Linked DNA regions of Drosophila melanogaster. The protein of the gene in region 2 interacts with the protein of the main gene of each other region in a pairwise test. Each region holds a gene or a part of one and is shown on either strand. Other genes may lie near its edges.

Region 1 (7,959 bases), on a different chromosome or scaffold from region 2:
CGTTGGACAATGCTACCGAAGAACAATCAAAGAAGATCCAGCATCAGGAGGATGAGCCACCAAACGAAGAGGAAATAGAGGCGGAAAATGTTGACGAGTTAATGGAGGCCGAAGAGCCAGCCGTTGATCCGGAAGATGATGCTGAACTCGAGCAACTGGGGGCTGAGAAGACGGAGCAAAAGTCCGACAAACCCTCTAAAACAGAAAAGTCTAAGGAGCAGTTGGAGACCCCTGAAGGAATGGAGATAGAAGGGGAGGTGGTGCTGACTATGACGGTTCCTCGTAGCTCGGAGACTACTGCGCATAGCAAGTGAGTAATATATCCATTGTTTACCGCTTTTTTATTTTAATAGTTTTTTTTTTATTCAACAGTTCCGAAATCCTTCTGGATAAGAGCTCACACGCGGAGGATCTGAGCTCAGCCGAACAAATTGAGCTTAGGCAACAGTACCAAAAGCAGTTGACCACATTCAGAGTAGTAAGTTGCACCTTTCATAATAAATTAGCCGTACCTGTTACTTATTTGTTACTTACAGGCACAGCCGGAGCACGAGGATTACGAAACATGGCAGGGCATCTCCAATAGAATGACCCAGAATGCCCGTGAGCTTTGCGAACAGTTGCGTCTTATTCTGGAGCCCACGAAGTGCACACGGTTAAAGGGCGACTACCGCACTGGAAGACGTATTAATATGAAAAAAATTATTCCATACATCGCCTCGCAGTTCCGCAAGGACAAGATCTGGTTGCGACGAACCAAGCCTGCGCAGCGTGACTATAAGATCACCATTGCCATTGATGACTCCAAGTCGATGCACCACAACAACTCCAAGACGCTGACTCTGGAGGCAATCTCGCTTGTGTCGCAGGCGCTAACCCTTCTAGAGAGTGGTCGTCTTAGCATTGTATCTTTTGGGGAGGCGCCGCAGATCATACTAAATCACACGGAGCAGTTTGACGGTCCCCGCTTGGTAAATGCTCTGAACTTCGCTCAGGACAAGACAAAGATCGCCGGGCTGCTGAACTTTATACGCACGGCAAATGCAGAAGAGAGTGGCACGGGGGGCGATAATGGTCTGTTTGAAAACCTTTTGCTCATTCTCAGCGATGGACGTAATATATTCAGCGAAGGTGCACAGAACGTAAAGAACGCCATTAAGTTGGCGCGTCTGCAGCGCATCTTCCTGGTATACATCATTATCGATAATCCAGACAATAAGGTAATGGGTTTTCAAGAACATTCAATGAGTTTAACTAATCCTTGGCTACCTTTAGAACTCAATTCTGGACATACAACATGTGGCGGTGAACGCAGATGGATCAGTGAACATTAATTCCTACCTGGACAGTTTTCCTTTTCCGTACTATGTGATAGTCCGGGACCTTAACCAGCTGCCGCTGGTGCTCAGCGAAGCCATGAGACAATGGTTCGAGTTGGTTAACAGCGAGTAATCATTGCATTTACTCTTGAGATAAAAAGAAGTGACTTTTACTTATTAATATTAATACAGGCTTGAATATTTAGCCCACTTAGTTATATTTCACATGTAAATATTAACTTGTACAAACTGAAAATGTGACCGAGTGTACGATTGTTCACTAATGCTTTTATAATTTACTTGAAATTGTTACTTTTTTTATTTTTTACAATTAAACTTTTGTAAACAGTATAAAGTTAGATTATATAAACATTAAACGATTCTAAGGTGCTTATATCGTTATCGCACTGGGCCTTGATCTTCAATCATTGTTGTGAAAAGCTGTAAAAAAAGTTTCGGATAGCAAACTACGAGTATATAACATGAAGGTAAGTATTACACCTGAAGTATGTTGGGTAAATGATAGGTAGAATTAATAAATTGAACTTAGCCAAGTACTACTAGTCAACTATAAGGTAAACAATAAATTCCAGTTTGACCAATATATCTATATCTATCTATCTATAGATCATATAGCTGTATGCAGTTGAATCGGTCGTTTTACATTACACAGACCAGAAAGTAACTTGGTTTTATTTTAAAGAAATAGGTTTATAACTCATTAAGCGTTTTTAACATAATTTCCAAAATAAAAGGGCTTATCGAAGTTGTGCAACTCCTCAGAACAAACTTGTTTCGAACTGAAAAACAGAGAAAAGCTGGTAGTACACCATATAGTTACATCCTGCTGCCACACTGCTTATCCTAGTAAAACTTATCCTGTCTTAGTTGACCTTCGTACGACCTCAGACTCAACATGCTTAAAGATCGACCGAAAGTCCCTGGTAAGGCCATATTGGTCCATTGCCTCGCACAAAGTTCGTATGAAAAACGAACCATGATTTTCATTGCGATAGCTCAAATAGGGTTCGTTGTTGCTCAAGATTAGGAGGATAAATCCAGCCTCCTGGGTGAATTGTTTTTCAGACCCTTAAAGAAATTCGTTACTAAGAATAAAACCGTTTGCTCATATTTCTTACACTCCTTCACTTTGTTTCTAACGACCGCCAAAGCTGGATTAGAAATTACTTCAACAGGACATTTTAGGCTTTCAAATGTCTTGCGAAGAGCATTGGCATCATTTGAGCTACCCCTTTTGTTCAATTGAGAATCCTGAGGGAACTCCTCATGTTGAGAATGTACACAATTGGAGGCTTAAGTTTTTTGATTAAATCATATAGTCTGTCAATTTGTAGCAATACGTACTTTTTGATGTTCAATTCCTTGAAAAAGATCCATGTTTCTTGTTCCCCGATCTAAATTTAACTGAGTAATACATAAAGGCCCGTATTAGATTTATGGCACAATCATATTCATCGACAAATGCAAGTACAACTTGGGTGTTTATTGTTATTTCCCGATTATAAAGGTATTGCCGATTGTTGCCTTTTTATACCCTCTTACCCTACTTTATTACTTAATTAACCTACTTACTTAATTAATTGGCTGTGCTTTTAACATTTGCACAGATGAAGTCGGTGGTGAAAACCCAAAAGAGTCAACGGGAGAAAAGACAGCAAAAGACAGGCAAGACAGCCTGTTGACGAGTTATCTTCTATTCTACGAGTGGCGGGTAGATAAAGTCAGAAGGTCAGTAAAGGAAGTTTTAATCGGAAAATAGTAACTCAATTTGTACTTTTTTTGTCGATGAACAAATCCGGATGTTGGCTATATAGCTGGCCAGATAGTGACTGATAAGACAACAAATATTGCACTTGCTTTTGTGCATTACTCAGTTAACGTTATATCGCCGAACAGTAAACATGTATCTGCCCGAAAGAACAGAACATCAAAAAGTACGTATTGTTATTATTATTATTTTAAGAAACTTAATGGTCTTTACGAAAAATCCATTGATACAGATTGAGAGACTATATGACAGCAACAGGGTCAACGCTGAACCAGTAAGTATAAATTGAAGAAAATCACAAATCATCCATTGAATTTTCCTTAGGGTCAAGGCCTTGATTTAAATGAAAAACTAAAGCCGCCAGCCGTGTACATTCTGAATCATGAGCAGTTCCCTCAGGATTCTCAATTGAACAGAAAGGGTAGCTCAAATGATGTCAATGCTCTTCGCAAAACATTCGAAAGCCTAAAATGTCGAGTTGAAGTTATTTCTAACCCAGCGTTGCCGGACGTTAAAAACAAAGTGAAGGAGTGTAAGAAATATGAGCAAACGGTTTTATTCTTAGTAACGAATTTCTTCAAGGGTCTGCAAAACGATTCACCCAGGACGCTGGATTTGTCCTCTTTATCTTGAGCCATGGCGACCGAAAAGAGAAAATCTTGGCATGCGACCACAGGGAATACCACTTGGACGATGACGTCCTTTTTCCCCTCTTTAGAAATCCAACCTTATCTGGCAAGCCAAAAATTTTAATTGTTCAAGCCTGCAAGGGTCCGTTGAGAGCTGACGCGAAAAAAATGAACAACGAACCCTATATTAAGTGTTACAGCTGCTCCGAGGGCTATTTGAGCTATCGCAATGAAAATCATGGTTCGGTTTTCATACAAACCTTGTGCGAGGCAATGGACCAATATGGCCTTACCAGGGACTTTCAGTCGATCTTTAAGCATGTTAAGGCTGAGGTCGAACGAAGGTCAACTATGACAGGGTAAGTTTTACTAGGATAAGCAGTGTGGCAACAGGATGTAACTATATGATGTACTTCCTGCTTTTCTCTGTTTTTCAGTTCGAAACAAGTTCCTTCTGAGGAGTCGCACAACTTCGACAAACCCTTTTATTTTGGAAATTATGCTAAAAACACTTAATGAGTTGAGTTATATATTAAAGAATTTCTTTAAAATATATTTAAGATACTTTCTGGTCAGAGTAAAGTTAAATGACAGATTCAACTGATCCATATATTTACTTTCACTTTGTCAAACTGTAATTTACTGTGTTGATATCTTATCTTTAAATAAATCAATCGAAGCGGAACCCGGAGATAATGTTAAGTGTTCAAGGAAGTGGGTAAGCAAGTGGGTAGGCATTATAACGCGCTTACCTATTTATCAAACTTTATTTACCAATATACAAAATATATCTGTGGACGGCAGTCAACTTAGTGACGAAGCGCACCTGGAATTTACAAAGCTCTGACATGGTTGATTGTAAAAAGTACTGTACAATAGATTTTTTTTTATAATATTTTTAATTTCGAATCCGATTTGCTAGGGATAATCTCAATTTTATTTGAGTTCACCAAAAAATCATGAATGAATTTTACAATTAACTTAAATACTATTGAGATCATAAGCACCTAGAAAAACAGATAGCACAATCCAGACCCACAAGGCAATTTTATTCTTTCTGCGTAAGCTGTTAAACTTCCAGGACGTCTTCGGGATCTCTGACTTCGACATAATACGAGTAGACGACAATCCAGAAGTAGATACCACAGCCTGAAAAGGATGTTCTTTAAGGATGCAGTAACTCACAAAAATAACAACTTACATATATATATTGCAGATCCTGGGACTATTATCTCGCGGTACCGCTCCTCCTTAATCAGCATGTAGATGCAGTACACAAACAGGATCATACAGTTGGTCAGGCTAGTGATCAGGAAGAACATCAGGAGAACAGTTGATCTCTATAGTGGTTTAGCTTGGAGATGGGATCGGCTGCAGTGGGTGCCAAACAGTGGCTGCACTTACGATTAAAGCTCCGCCCAGCAGGAATGTGCAGCCGATACAATGGCAGATTGCCACCGCTTGCTCAATGTGTGCGATGAACTCCTCTAGATGAAGGTGGGATGCATTACCAGGGTGATCATTTAAATGGATCTGCCAGCCCCAAACTTACGACCCGCCAAGTTAAGCACCACTAAGTTAATGATGAAGTCCACGATGGCTATGATGATGCAGGCTCTGCGCAATTTAATGCAGAAACAGCATTTTTTCACCATTTTACAATTTTTATCTAGACAACTCCATAAACTGATTAGAAAAGCAGAGCTACTGTCAGAGAACCACAGTTTATATTACAACTAGTACTGTTAAAAAAAAAAAAAAAAAAAAAACGTAAGACATGGGAACAAACCGTTCTTATAGAGTTTGCCAAATAATAGAAGCTACGTATCTGTTACTTATCTATTAAATACGTATTATCATGACATATTGTGAGCGAATTGCGAATATTCCAGTCGCATTGGTTTCAGTGCATTATGACTTTCATTTCGAGTTGGGGGTTTTTAAGCTAAAAAGCACATTGTGTGCTTATACTACTCGAATATCACTTGGGACTGCCAGCGTTAAAATAAGTAGATAATTTACCGAAATAATGCTTGTTGATTCTACATGTCAGAAATGAATTTAATTTTCATTATTTCACATTTGGTTACTTCTTGTTCGCGGGTTAGTAACCTCTTTATGAAGTTGGCGCCCCATAAATACCTTAGTGTAGATCATGGAACCCAATGACCGTCCCTGGCCGACCAATGCAATGTGCGAGTTACATAATAAATTACAAGTGAACATCGCAATCGAGCATTAAGGCGAATGCTTTTGGCAAATATTGGCCGAAAAGGGGCCGGGAAGACCCAAAAACAGAACGTGACGACGACGGGCCCCTCCCTTTGATCTGGTTTGCCTGTGCAGTTTTCAGTTTCGTTTTCATCAGCCGAATTTCGGATACGAACCCGAATCGGAAACGGAATCTATGTCCACACTGGGCATCGAAAACGAAATCGAAATGGGCACAGTGCGCCAGCTAATTTGTATGCATCGCGCATTGCTGGCGGGGATTGAAGAGCTGCGCGTAACGCGATTGGGAAGCCATCGGAAATATTATGCAAGGGCGGGGGAGCTACGCATTGCTGAGGTGGCGGATTCATATAAAACACTCGATTGACCTGCAGCAGTAGCTTCATTCGCAGCCGAACCATCGACATCAGCATGCAGACGCAGTGTATCCTCCTTCTCTTGGCCGCCAGTCTGGCCATATGTGTGGCGCGTCCGGAACCACCTAGATCGCGTTACGGACCGCCGCCACCGCCGGCTCCCCAAAAGGAATACGGTCCTCCGGCCCCGGCAGCACAGCCTCTACCCGTTTACGGACCACCAGCCGCCTTCTACGGACCACCAGCCGCCTCGGAGGCGCTCGTGACCAAGAACGTGTACGTGCATGTGCCGCCAGAGGAGCCAGAGTTCTATCCGGCCTCGTCGCCCATCCAGACGGCCGTTCCCAAGAAGCACTACAAGATCATCTTCATCAAGGCGCCCAACCCTCCGACCCCTGTGCGCCAGGTGCTCCCTCCTCCGGTCCAGGATGAGCACAAGACCCTTGTGTATGTTCTGGTCAAGAAGCCCGAGGAGCAGCAGCCCGTCATCCTGCCCGCTCCAGAGCCCACAGAGCCCAGCAAGCCAGAGGTCTACTTCATCAAGTATAAGCAGCAGCAGGCCAAGCCGGCCACCCAGTACGGCCCACCACCGTCCGCCCCATCCGAGGAGTACGGAGCACCACCTGCCCCCCGCACCGTCGAGCAGTTCTAGTTTGTAGTGTCGTCTAGGTCTACAGCCCATGAATGTAAATATTATTTATGATCGCTGCCATTAAAGAGAGTTTAGAGAAAGCAAAATCAGCCGGATCTTAAAGTCCTTGGGATATTGATGAAAAAATTATTATAGCGGTTACAGTATTTCATATTACTACCTTGAAGTCATGAGCGCTCCATTCGTTGCGGATCCAGAAATCTTGAGATACGATCATCAATCAGTGCATCTTAACAAAGGCACTCGATATTTTTTTTATTTACCAGGAGCACGCATTGAATACAAATGAGGTTACTGCGCAAGTTATTGGGTACCGATAATTGGGAAAGCAATAATTTATATTGCTCAATTATGCATTACTCGTTATTAACGTCGAATACAATATTCAACTTTCAATTTGTTTATTTGGTTACTTAGGTCAAGATTGCAAAAGCGCATTGAACAATGGATTACAACATGGATTTCCCTTAAAATTGTTAAAAATGTATGTAAAGCGTTAAAAATATTTATCATTATTGCAAGATGTTGCAGAAAAAGAAAGTAAAAATTGACCGGAAATTGAAGATATTATGGTTAGATAATTTCCAAATATACTATATGTTTGCCAAAAAAGGTTATAAATTACTTTATTTTATATCCAAAATGATAGAACATTGAAAGAATAAATTTTATAAGGACCAATATTTAACAATATACTGTAAAATTTACAAGCTCACGCGTCCTTTAAGCGATCATAATAGGAGTAGACCACCAGCCAAAAGTACAAGCCTAGAACTGGAAAAGGATTTGGCCAAGTTGAACATTGTGCCGAAATATTGAATGCAACTTACGGGATTGAAGAATATCGAAAACTAGATATTCATTCATGATGCCCTCTGTGGCTACAAACACGCCCTCGGCAACTAAAATGAAGAACCGCAGGCAGGAAACTGAGAGGTAAGGCAACAGAAAATATCTCAGGCCCTGTAATTAGACAGCTTTA
Region 2 (8,758 bases):
GGTGTGATTCCCGTGCCCACCAAACTGCTGTTGGGCAAGCGACGCGCCTCTTCTATTCCGGAATTTATCAGCTTCGCTGATCCAAACATTCCAAGTGTGCCGCCGAAATTGTGAAGCATGCACCATATAAAGGGCTGCCCAAAGTAGGAGCGCGTTAGCTCGTATTGCGGAAACTGTTCGCTCTGCAGATCGAGCACCAAAATGCGACCACGTGGTGCGGCCGTGAGGAAAGCTTCAGCCATGTCCGTGGTCCAAAAGGGATTCTTCACGAACATCCAGCCCTGAAGCAACCAAATGGCCTGAGGATCAATGCCGCGCATAGATTCATAAATCGCCGCCGCCGTTGAACGCATGTATTCCGGCTTGGCTACCGGTGGCTCCAGTTCGTTGAAGGGATCGCAGAAGAAGATGTGATTCGAACCATATTTCGTAATGATATTATGCAAAAAACGCGAGGCTATCTCCTTGAAAAGATTCTCCGTGGGTTCCACAAATAAACCGCAGCAGTATCGATCGGGGAACTGGTTCCATCGCTGCACTTCCATGAACGTCGATTCGGGATTCAGACGCTTCAGAGCACGTGGCACATGACCAGCAAAGGCGGGCAAGGCCACGCTCATGCCCAGATTGCGTTGGGCAGTGATAATCTCCTGCTGGAGGAGTAATTGATAGCGTCGCCATGCCGGTGTCAGTGGTCCCGCCCATCCCCGTATGTTGCCCATGCGCTGCCAGGCCTGAAAAGCTGGTCCAGCCAGATGCTCGTCGATTTCCTCCATCCTGAGGCCCATATCCGTGTACACCTTCACCCAAATGGCTTCCTGGACCGGCGCAATAGTCAGACTGATGCCCATCAGGGCCATCCAGTCCAGGTGACGGCGCCACTGCTCAATGCCCCACCATGCAAAGCTATAGCTCCAAGTGCACACGTTCTGGTGATAGATAATCGGGCTTGCTGACTTGGACTCGATGGTCACATTGGGCAGCTGCAAATTGGTGGGCAACTCAATGCGCATCTTGAACCAATCCACGTCCTTGTTTAAAACATATTTGAGGTAGTGATGGAGGGCCTTGCACACGGAAACACCATCCCATCCCATCAGCAGAATCCGGCCATCATCCAACATGCTAATCTGTAAGGTATTTAAAGATTGAAACATTTGTATTGTTTATTTACTTAAAAGTAAATACTTAATAAATAAATATTATTACCTGAAAGCTTCGTAAATCCATATTTTTATTGACTTGCACCTTAAACAATTGAGAAGATCGTTCGCCGATTACTCTACTGATTACCGCCATGGCTGCGGTTTCCTGGACATCTTTGGGTGTGCTGGGTGCCAAGTGGGCAGCCATTTGGAGTCCCATTTCAGGACCTGAAGCCGCATCCCAGTTAAGTTCTGATCCCTGCGCGAGTTGCAGGCAAAGCACCGCTAGCAAGGCCAAGGCCAGCTTCCAATTCAGCTGCATTTCTCCGTCCGTCTATTTACTGCCGTGTGTGTCAATGTCAACGGGGCCCAAGTGACTGACTGACTGACAGCTTCTCCTTCTCTCGCAATTGGGGCTCTCCCGAAGAATGCGGGAACGGAGGAAAGAGCGCTAAGTGAACCCGATGAGAACACAATGGAAGAGAAGAGCAGCTGGATTCCGATCACTTTCTTCTTATCGCCAGATTGAACAATGACGCAGTAGAGTTCTGAAATGCGAGGGATCATCGGATACACTCACTAAGAGTATATTACAACTTTGATAAGAAGTTTGTAGATCAATTTTTCCCTTATTGAGTTTTAAAAATAATATTAAGTTCTGATTTAAAATTAATTGGTAAGCAATGAAAAGGTAAAAAATATATTATCAACTAAAATAATTGTTTGATATTTATGCAACAAAAAACAAAGAACGTCAGATTTTGGAAACTATACAATTTAGAATGGTATTTAAATGTTGGTCTTCGTCGATATCCTTATATTGTAATCCGTGTTATAATGCATTTGTTAAGAAATTAACTGAAAATCGCAAGGCAAATCCATATATCTCGGAAAATATCAAAAAATATATAGTATATATACAGGGTCATTTGAGCTTTATTGCACGTATTTCGTCTTAGACACTAACAATAATTTAGTTTATGCCGCCGACTAAGCAGCGATTTTAAGTACATGTAAACGAAAGAACATTCATTTCTTCTCGTTCGTGTGAAACGATGAATGCTCAGTGTATATAACTCCTAACAAATTGAATAACAATTCAGCGATATATATATGTAAAAAATTATAAACTCACAGCGGACAATGCAACGCGATGCTTTCTACCATTGTTTTTTTTTTTTTTTTTTTGTTTGGCAACAGAATACAATTTCAAAGCCTTGGCCAACAACAAACGTACGTGTACGTCGATGATGTATCTTCTGGTGCTTATGAGCTACTCTTACCATATCTACCATGTACAATTTTAATGTTAAAAGCCTTTCGTGTTGCTCACTATTTTATATGCACAAAATCAAAAATGACTAGCTCTAAACAGCCGCTGGCAATTACACAAATCAACTAATCGCTAAGTAATGCTATTGTTAATATCCTTAAATACAAGTTATGTACGTATGCAATTCATGTCTATGTGTTTTGGTTTTTTGGCTGTGTGAGTTTACTGTACTGACTACAAAAAACAACCTGGTTATAATATTGTTAATCGTTTGCGTTTTAGCTTGGCGCAGTTGGAAGCAAACATATCTTTGGACAAATCACTCTTCAAATTTCACTTTACCACAATCTCGTGCAGTAAATTCGTTGTGCAACACGTTCTTTTCAACCTCCATAGCTTTTTACTCCCCAATCCGAGAGAGATCCATTTCAATTTTATCATATTCCCTTGAAAATCCATTGAAAATAGTAGGAAAGTTACTTAGCTCCTTCTTAAGTATGCTTTTCAAAATCAAAAGTAACAGCATCACGAAAATTTGTGGGCAAAAAAGTTAAAACGTCATTTGGAAACATTAAAATATTGTATGCTGTATCAATAAAATCCTGTTTGATCCCATGTGTGGTTAATTTTAGTAGTTAATCTCGATATTTTTTAACAAGCTATCCATTTGATCTGCTCAACTTTTAAGTTGCACAGCATGTGTTTTTATACGCTTTCATCTTCATAGTTGGTCAGTTGGTCACTTTAGTTGGTTTACTTTAAATCGAGCATTTAACAATTAGGACCTAACAAATCTTGTGGCCACTGTTCTTTTACTTTTGTACTCTTTCCGATCTGGCTGTTTTTCCTTTCTTCGTGATCTGTTGTCCTCTTTACTTCCCGGCATTATGATTTTTCTTTCAAAAGCTCCTTACATCTTTTTGGTACTCAGATTTGGCACAAATAAATGTGGGGTTAGATCCATTTCGCCAGCGATCTGGTGTCCATTATGCTTTCTGTAAATTCGTTGTGCACTCGCGGTCTCCTCCACCAATCCTATTCCTGCTGCCTCCAATTCACTCACTTATGGAGTAAGCCTTTCGTATGCACTTGCTGTGCCTGGTGATTCTCAGCTCCTCGGCATCGTGCGACGAATGCTGTCGATGCGTCACTGTTTCTGGCAGTTCAGTCGAAGACTTGTTCAACGCGTATGTGCGGATGAAGTCGATGGTTGAATAGCCTTGTGTCCCGGAGCATTCTGTTACCTTCTTCGCCTGCGTATCTCCCGTATCAGCAGAGATGCTATTCAGGCTTTGGGTCTGCATGGGCGGTGGGGGAACGTCCAACGTAGTACCTGCCTCTGGAGTTACTGGTGCGGTGACAGCTGCTGGGGTGGAGATCAGTGATAAGCCGCTGCCAAATCCATTGATCGCCTTTGATGAACCCGCCGGTCCCACGGGACTTCGCGGCTGATCAAGATCCAGCACTATATAGTTTACTCCGCAGCTGCCCGCTAAGCTGGTGGGCGTGGCCGGCTCTTGATTGGAAATTGGTTCCCTCGGCAGCAGAGGGAGCTCCAAGCGATTTACGTTCTCATAGCAGCGCTCATTGTTCAGATCAAAGATCAGAGCTTCCACATTGGCGTACATGTGCACAGCATCGTTGGGACTCAGAACTGGAGCTGGTGCTGGGGCCGATTCCAGAGGTGGCAAGTCCATCGTGCGCCTACGTGATGTCAACCTATTGCCGGAGGGCGGGGTGGAAAGCAAATCCGAGGCGGTGCCTTCCAGACAACAGTCCTGCAAAGCCCGCAATGGCTGATCCAAATAGGCACTGGGTATCAGGACTGGTGATTGCAAATTGGGCGGAGAGTCATCGACTTGCGAATCGTTGGCCTGCAGCGGATACGATGCACTTGTGCTCGAGGGCTCACTGTGGAAGTTGCCCAACTGGCGGCTCATTAGGGGAGCCGGCTCTAGATAGTTATTGCCCTCAGTACGGCCCATATTTACGGACACCGAATGAGCGGAGTTAACCCTTTCTCGTTCGCCCTGCACAAAGGCATCTGTATTCACCGCGTTGATGTAGCGCTGAAACATCGGATACAGCTGCTCGGCATTGTGGACTCGAAACGTGTAGATCCCTGGCCCAGACATACACCTACGTCCTGCTTCGAAGGAGAAGAGATCGTTATTCAACCCATAACGTCGGAGGTGTTGCAGTGCCCAGACAATGGGCTCACAGCCAGGCGACTGGAATATTAGTTCCCGGGGCGTTAGCTCCAGGTAGCCACTCCGGATGATGGGCGTACCCGGGGTGGGTTGCAGGTGAGCCACTCGCACTCGAAACACATTCTCATGACCGCGCAGCTCATTTAACTTGCTGCTGCTGGTGATGCAGCCCATGGTGTTGCACTGAAAGACGGAGTATTATGCATTGAAGGATTATCCACTCCAGTCATGTACAGTGCCTATTGAAATGCACACCTGGACAGGCAAGTCCGCCTGGCTGTTATCGCAGCGGGCATGGAAGAAATCGCAGGCCGATAAGAGCACCACCCACCGCCTCCACCAGCTGAAATCAGCTACCCAGTGGAACTGGAGGCTCTGGGGTGCAGTCGAATTGTGTTGCTGTTATCCTGGTTGACTCCTCCTGCTTTGGTTAACTCCTGATCGACGGGACTGCTGGCTGATTGTTGTTATTTGGCCACGGAAATTCCGTTCTTGTGGTATAAAATTTCTTCTGCGACTTTTCCCCTCGCCCGACAGAACGCAATTGTGAGCAACGGGCATGCTAACTTGATTTTCGCAAAAAGACTTACAAGAAACGCTTTTTAAAAAAGTAAACGGAAAATCAAAGACAAATTACAAGTAATTACACTTAAAGAATGAAAAACTAGTTTAGCCAAGTTTAAGCCAAGGAAATATTAATATTTCAAAATTTATAGAAAAATATTGCAAATGTCAGCTTAATAGAAGTTTTCTCTCGTTTAATAGAATAATCTTGAAGATTTCTTACGTCGTAATTTTTACGTTTCTGCAAATGTTTACTGCAATTAACAAGTAATAAATAGGATTCAGATGTAAACAAATATAATTTATAAAAAAATTTTAAGTTAAGGCATTTTAGTCATCTTAATTGTATGGTTAACCATTTGGCGGAACATCAACTTTGTGGACAGCACTATAACTAGACCCGAAGCCCTAACGCGTTCTAACTGCGAAAACATCCTAACGCGACGTAAATACCAGACCCGAGCGGACATTTTTTATTTGTGGAGCGCGCAACAAGAACGAGAAAAGAAACCGAAACGGAAAGCAGGCAAAAAGAGCTGCTGCCAGTGTAGAATCGCAAAGCAAAGAAAGAAGCAAGTGCGTGTGTTTTTAAACCGAAACCGAGAGAATCGAGCCAGGTAAATTCCACTTTAAGTCATAAGATCAGAACATAAAGGAGTTAATTTAAAAAAATAAATGAAAAAGAAACCAAAGCCAAGCAGGCAGACGGCTTGCGTGTGTGTGTGTGCGTGAGTGGTGCTACTTTTGAAATTCTCTATACCCGCTTTGAATTTCGTGTTTGTTTAAAGGAATTGTGATTGAAAAGGAGACAAAGAGTTATTGACGAAAAGTTTCTAACTGGTTTCAAAAATGGTAACTGTATTTGAGGCACAAGTGTTTGTAAAAGAGACGCCCGCCGACGCTCACACACACAGGCAGGAAAAAGGACGCCATGGAAGGCGGCTTAGTGTGCGTGAACGGTGAAGAATGGGAGAAGCGAAGACTAAAAGAGATATTTAAATGGAGTTTTATGCATTTAAGGAGAACTTTCTTTGTCATTAACCCCGCCCCCGCAAAATACAGCATTCGAATTTCGCCACCTTGGAGTAGTTGCCTTTTTACAAAATTTTTGGGTGTGCCGCCTTCAATGCGTCGGCGTTGCCACCACGTCGGCGTCCGCAGCAGCAGCGCAGGCAGTGACGGCGGCAGAGGCAAACACCATGCCGGTGTGGCTTTGTATCCGTATCCGTCTCGCTCTCTCTCTCTCTCTTTGTCTCTTCGGCTCAATCTAGCGCTCTCTCCTTTTTGTGCCTCGCCTTCCTTCGCCTCGCCCGCTCATCGCTCTGGTCCTTTGTGCCATCGCTTCGCCTTGACTTCTGGTTCATTGTCGTTGTCTCCTCTTTGTTTGCATTGTACGCCTGATTACACTTGCCAACATGTTTCTACCTTCTCAGCCAAACATCCTTGTGCAAGGTGCACGCACATAGCGAGTGCCCACTGTGGCCATTTGATCTTTGTATACGTTTCGATCCCTTTTGCGTCTCGGTTTACTCAGATTATCGATACGAGGAGGATCGTCTTTTTGTTTTTCCTACACTTTTGTTGCGAAAAACTGCGTCGCACTTTCTGCAGCGTCGGTTTGTCAGTTCGTCCGTCCGTCCGTCACTCAGTCGTTCAATCGCTCAATCGCAGACGGGCAGACAGCCACCGCCCTAACTGGCGTCGCCTACATGTCTTTGTGTGTGTGGTGTATGTGCTTGCGTGCCTGGGGTAGTGTGCCTGTGTGCGTGCCTCGCTGCATGTGTGAGTCCTTTACGAATGGAGTGGGTGGGCAGAGGCCGAGGAGGAAGAAGCAGAAGCGCAATCACAAGATTTTCGATTGTCAACTGCAATTTATACTACTGCTAAGAGAATTTTATGATCTACTTGCAACGCTGAATGCTAATGCCTTAAATTTTAGTAGCCTCTGTCAAGGATCTTAAATTCAAGTTCTTGTCACAATCATATTTCTTAAGTATATAATTACTTTTATTGTTAAATATTTGTACTGTACTTAATACGTAAAACGTATTTGACAAGTGAAATTTCATGATTGCTCTACTGAAATCTTTTCTTTGAAAATGAATGCTCTTCTTTGTGTTCTAACCTGACCAAATTTATTTGTCAGTGACCCAATTTAGGCACCAAAACTGTAAATATTTCCGAAAATCTTATCAATTTGCCTGTTGAAAATTTGATTAGGAATGGAGTTTGCATTCTGAATTTTCCCCACTCCCGAAATTTGAGCAAATTGAATTATTTCGCTGCGATTTCAGGTAGCGGTCGCCAACCGAATGTATCTTTGAAATTGGTTTATTGTTAAGGAGGAGGGGAGGGCGCCCCATAGAATTTGTGGCGGGTTTTCCCTTGAAGTCGGCTCGAATTTCGTGTACATATTTGCCAGTCGTTCACTGAGGACGAGCATATACATATAATGCTTTTTGGTGTCGCCTTTATTGGCGAATTTGTCAACGTTTGCTCAAACTCGAGTAAACATTGCATTGCGATACGGTGTGGAGGGACTGGGGGCAAACATGCCGTTTCGTCAAGTGCGATTCGCGGTTAACCAGCAATGCTCGATCGCACAATTGGCCTTAAAGCTGTCGATTAGGGTTTAAATTTAACTGCGAACTATTTGGAAATAAACAGAAATCTTTTCCGGAATTACAATACAGTAAAACTTGATATTCTAAGAAGTTATAGATGGTTCACGTACGGTTATAGAATTTCTTAGTGCAGTAAAGGTGGCAAAGCATGTACGAAAAACATATTTTCGACTATTTACTAACGCATGTAATGTTATTGACAACTGGAAAGATTCCAGGAACATGCCTTTTGTTTATCAACATAGTAATTATATATCAATGCTCGTGCAGCTACTTCCTGGAAATGAGTGTAAGTAAGCATGGTCATTTTGGAAGTAACCCATACGATCTAATGATTCGCAGAACGGAGACACCGGTCTGCCAGGGCACATTTGTGCGCTAAACATATGAAGCTCAAAGTCCGAAGCTCAATTGGGGAGCATGGGTAGCTGCGTATATATGTATGTATATGGGTGTGTGTGTAAGCCAAAGTGTTGAGAGGTCCTTTGTCACCGCTGCCATACATTCGTATATCTACGAAAGCGAGCGAATTTCTCATTTAATATGCAAACATCTGTGTGAAAGATGTTCGAAGGCTGCCGCTGTGATGTGCTGCTGCTGGGGCTGTGTGAGTGGAAAACGTTTGCAGATTGAGCTGATTTTCATTTCACGTTCTCTTCTCGAACAACTCGAGTGATATAGCCCTCGGTTCGACCACTTGAGGCCACTAATTCCGCAGGAATTCGGTATGGTTTCAGGCATACTATCATAATTGCTGGGGGTGCACATTAAAATTTTTTTTTTTTTTGTGTTGTAGGTGTTGTTGTTTTGGGAGGCATTTGGCGTGCCGAATGGGCATTGTATTAATGCCAAATCAACAGAAATGTGGAAAATAGAAATATATGTGTAGTCCGCACTAAAAATCAATCGCAGTAGGCCCCAGAAACCAAAATAAACAAATAG

Evidence for each region.
Region 1: the proteins of CG13398 (region 2) and Damm interact in a two-hybrid assay, tested with the Drosophila melanogaster proteins (one large-scale study listed by BioGRID).

What each region holds. Positions count from the first base shown.
Region 1 is NT_033778.4:11,861,637-11,869,595, reverse strand, and holds Damm (death associated molecule related to Mch2 caspase), read left to right. Parts: upstream 1-3,212; 5' UTR 3,213-3,241; coding exon 3,242-3,274; intron 3,275-3,340; coding exon 3,341-3,382; intron 3,383-3,432; coding exon 3,433-3,640; intron 3,641-3,690; coding exon 3,691-4,096; intron 4,097-4,174; coding exon 4,175-4,253; 3' UTR 4,254-4,806; coding exon of another isoform or gene 4,807-4,886; 3' UTR 4,887-4,938; coding exon of another isoform or gene 4,939-5,077; 3' UTR 5,078-5,141; coding exon of another isoform or gene 5,142-5,224; 3' UTR 5,225-5,289; coding exon of another isoform or gene 5,290-5,392; 3' UTR 5,393-5,484; downstream 5,485-7,959. Other genes in the region: CG13185 (uncharacterized protein), read left to right, coding at 1-310, 373-478, 537-1,220, 1,276-1,452; CG42531 (uncharacterized protein), read right to left, coding at 4,807-4,886, 4,939-5,077, 5,142-5,224, 5,290-5,392; Twdlbeta (tweedlebeta), read left to right, coding at 6,381-6,977; CG34230 (uncharacterized protein), read right to left, coding at 7,690-7,751, 7,808-7,940.
Region 2 is NT_033779.5:8,410,078-8,418,835, forward strand, and holds CG13398 (uncharacterized protein), read right to left. Parts: upstream 5,180-8,758; 5' UTR 4,884-5,179; intron 4,812-4,883; 5' UTR 4,803-4,811; coding exon 3,474-4,802; 3' UTR 2,067-3,473; downstream 1-2,066. Other genes in the region: Naglu (N-acetyl-alpha-glucosaminidase), read right to left, coding at 1-1,130, 1,210-1,467.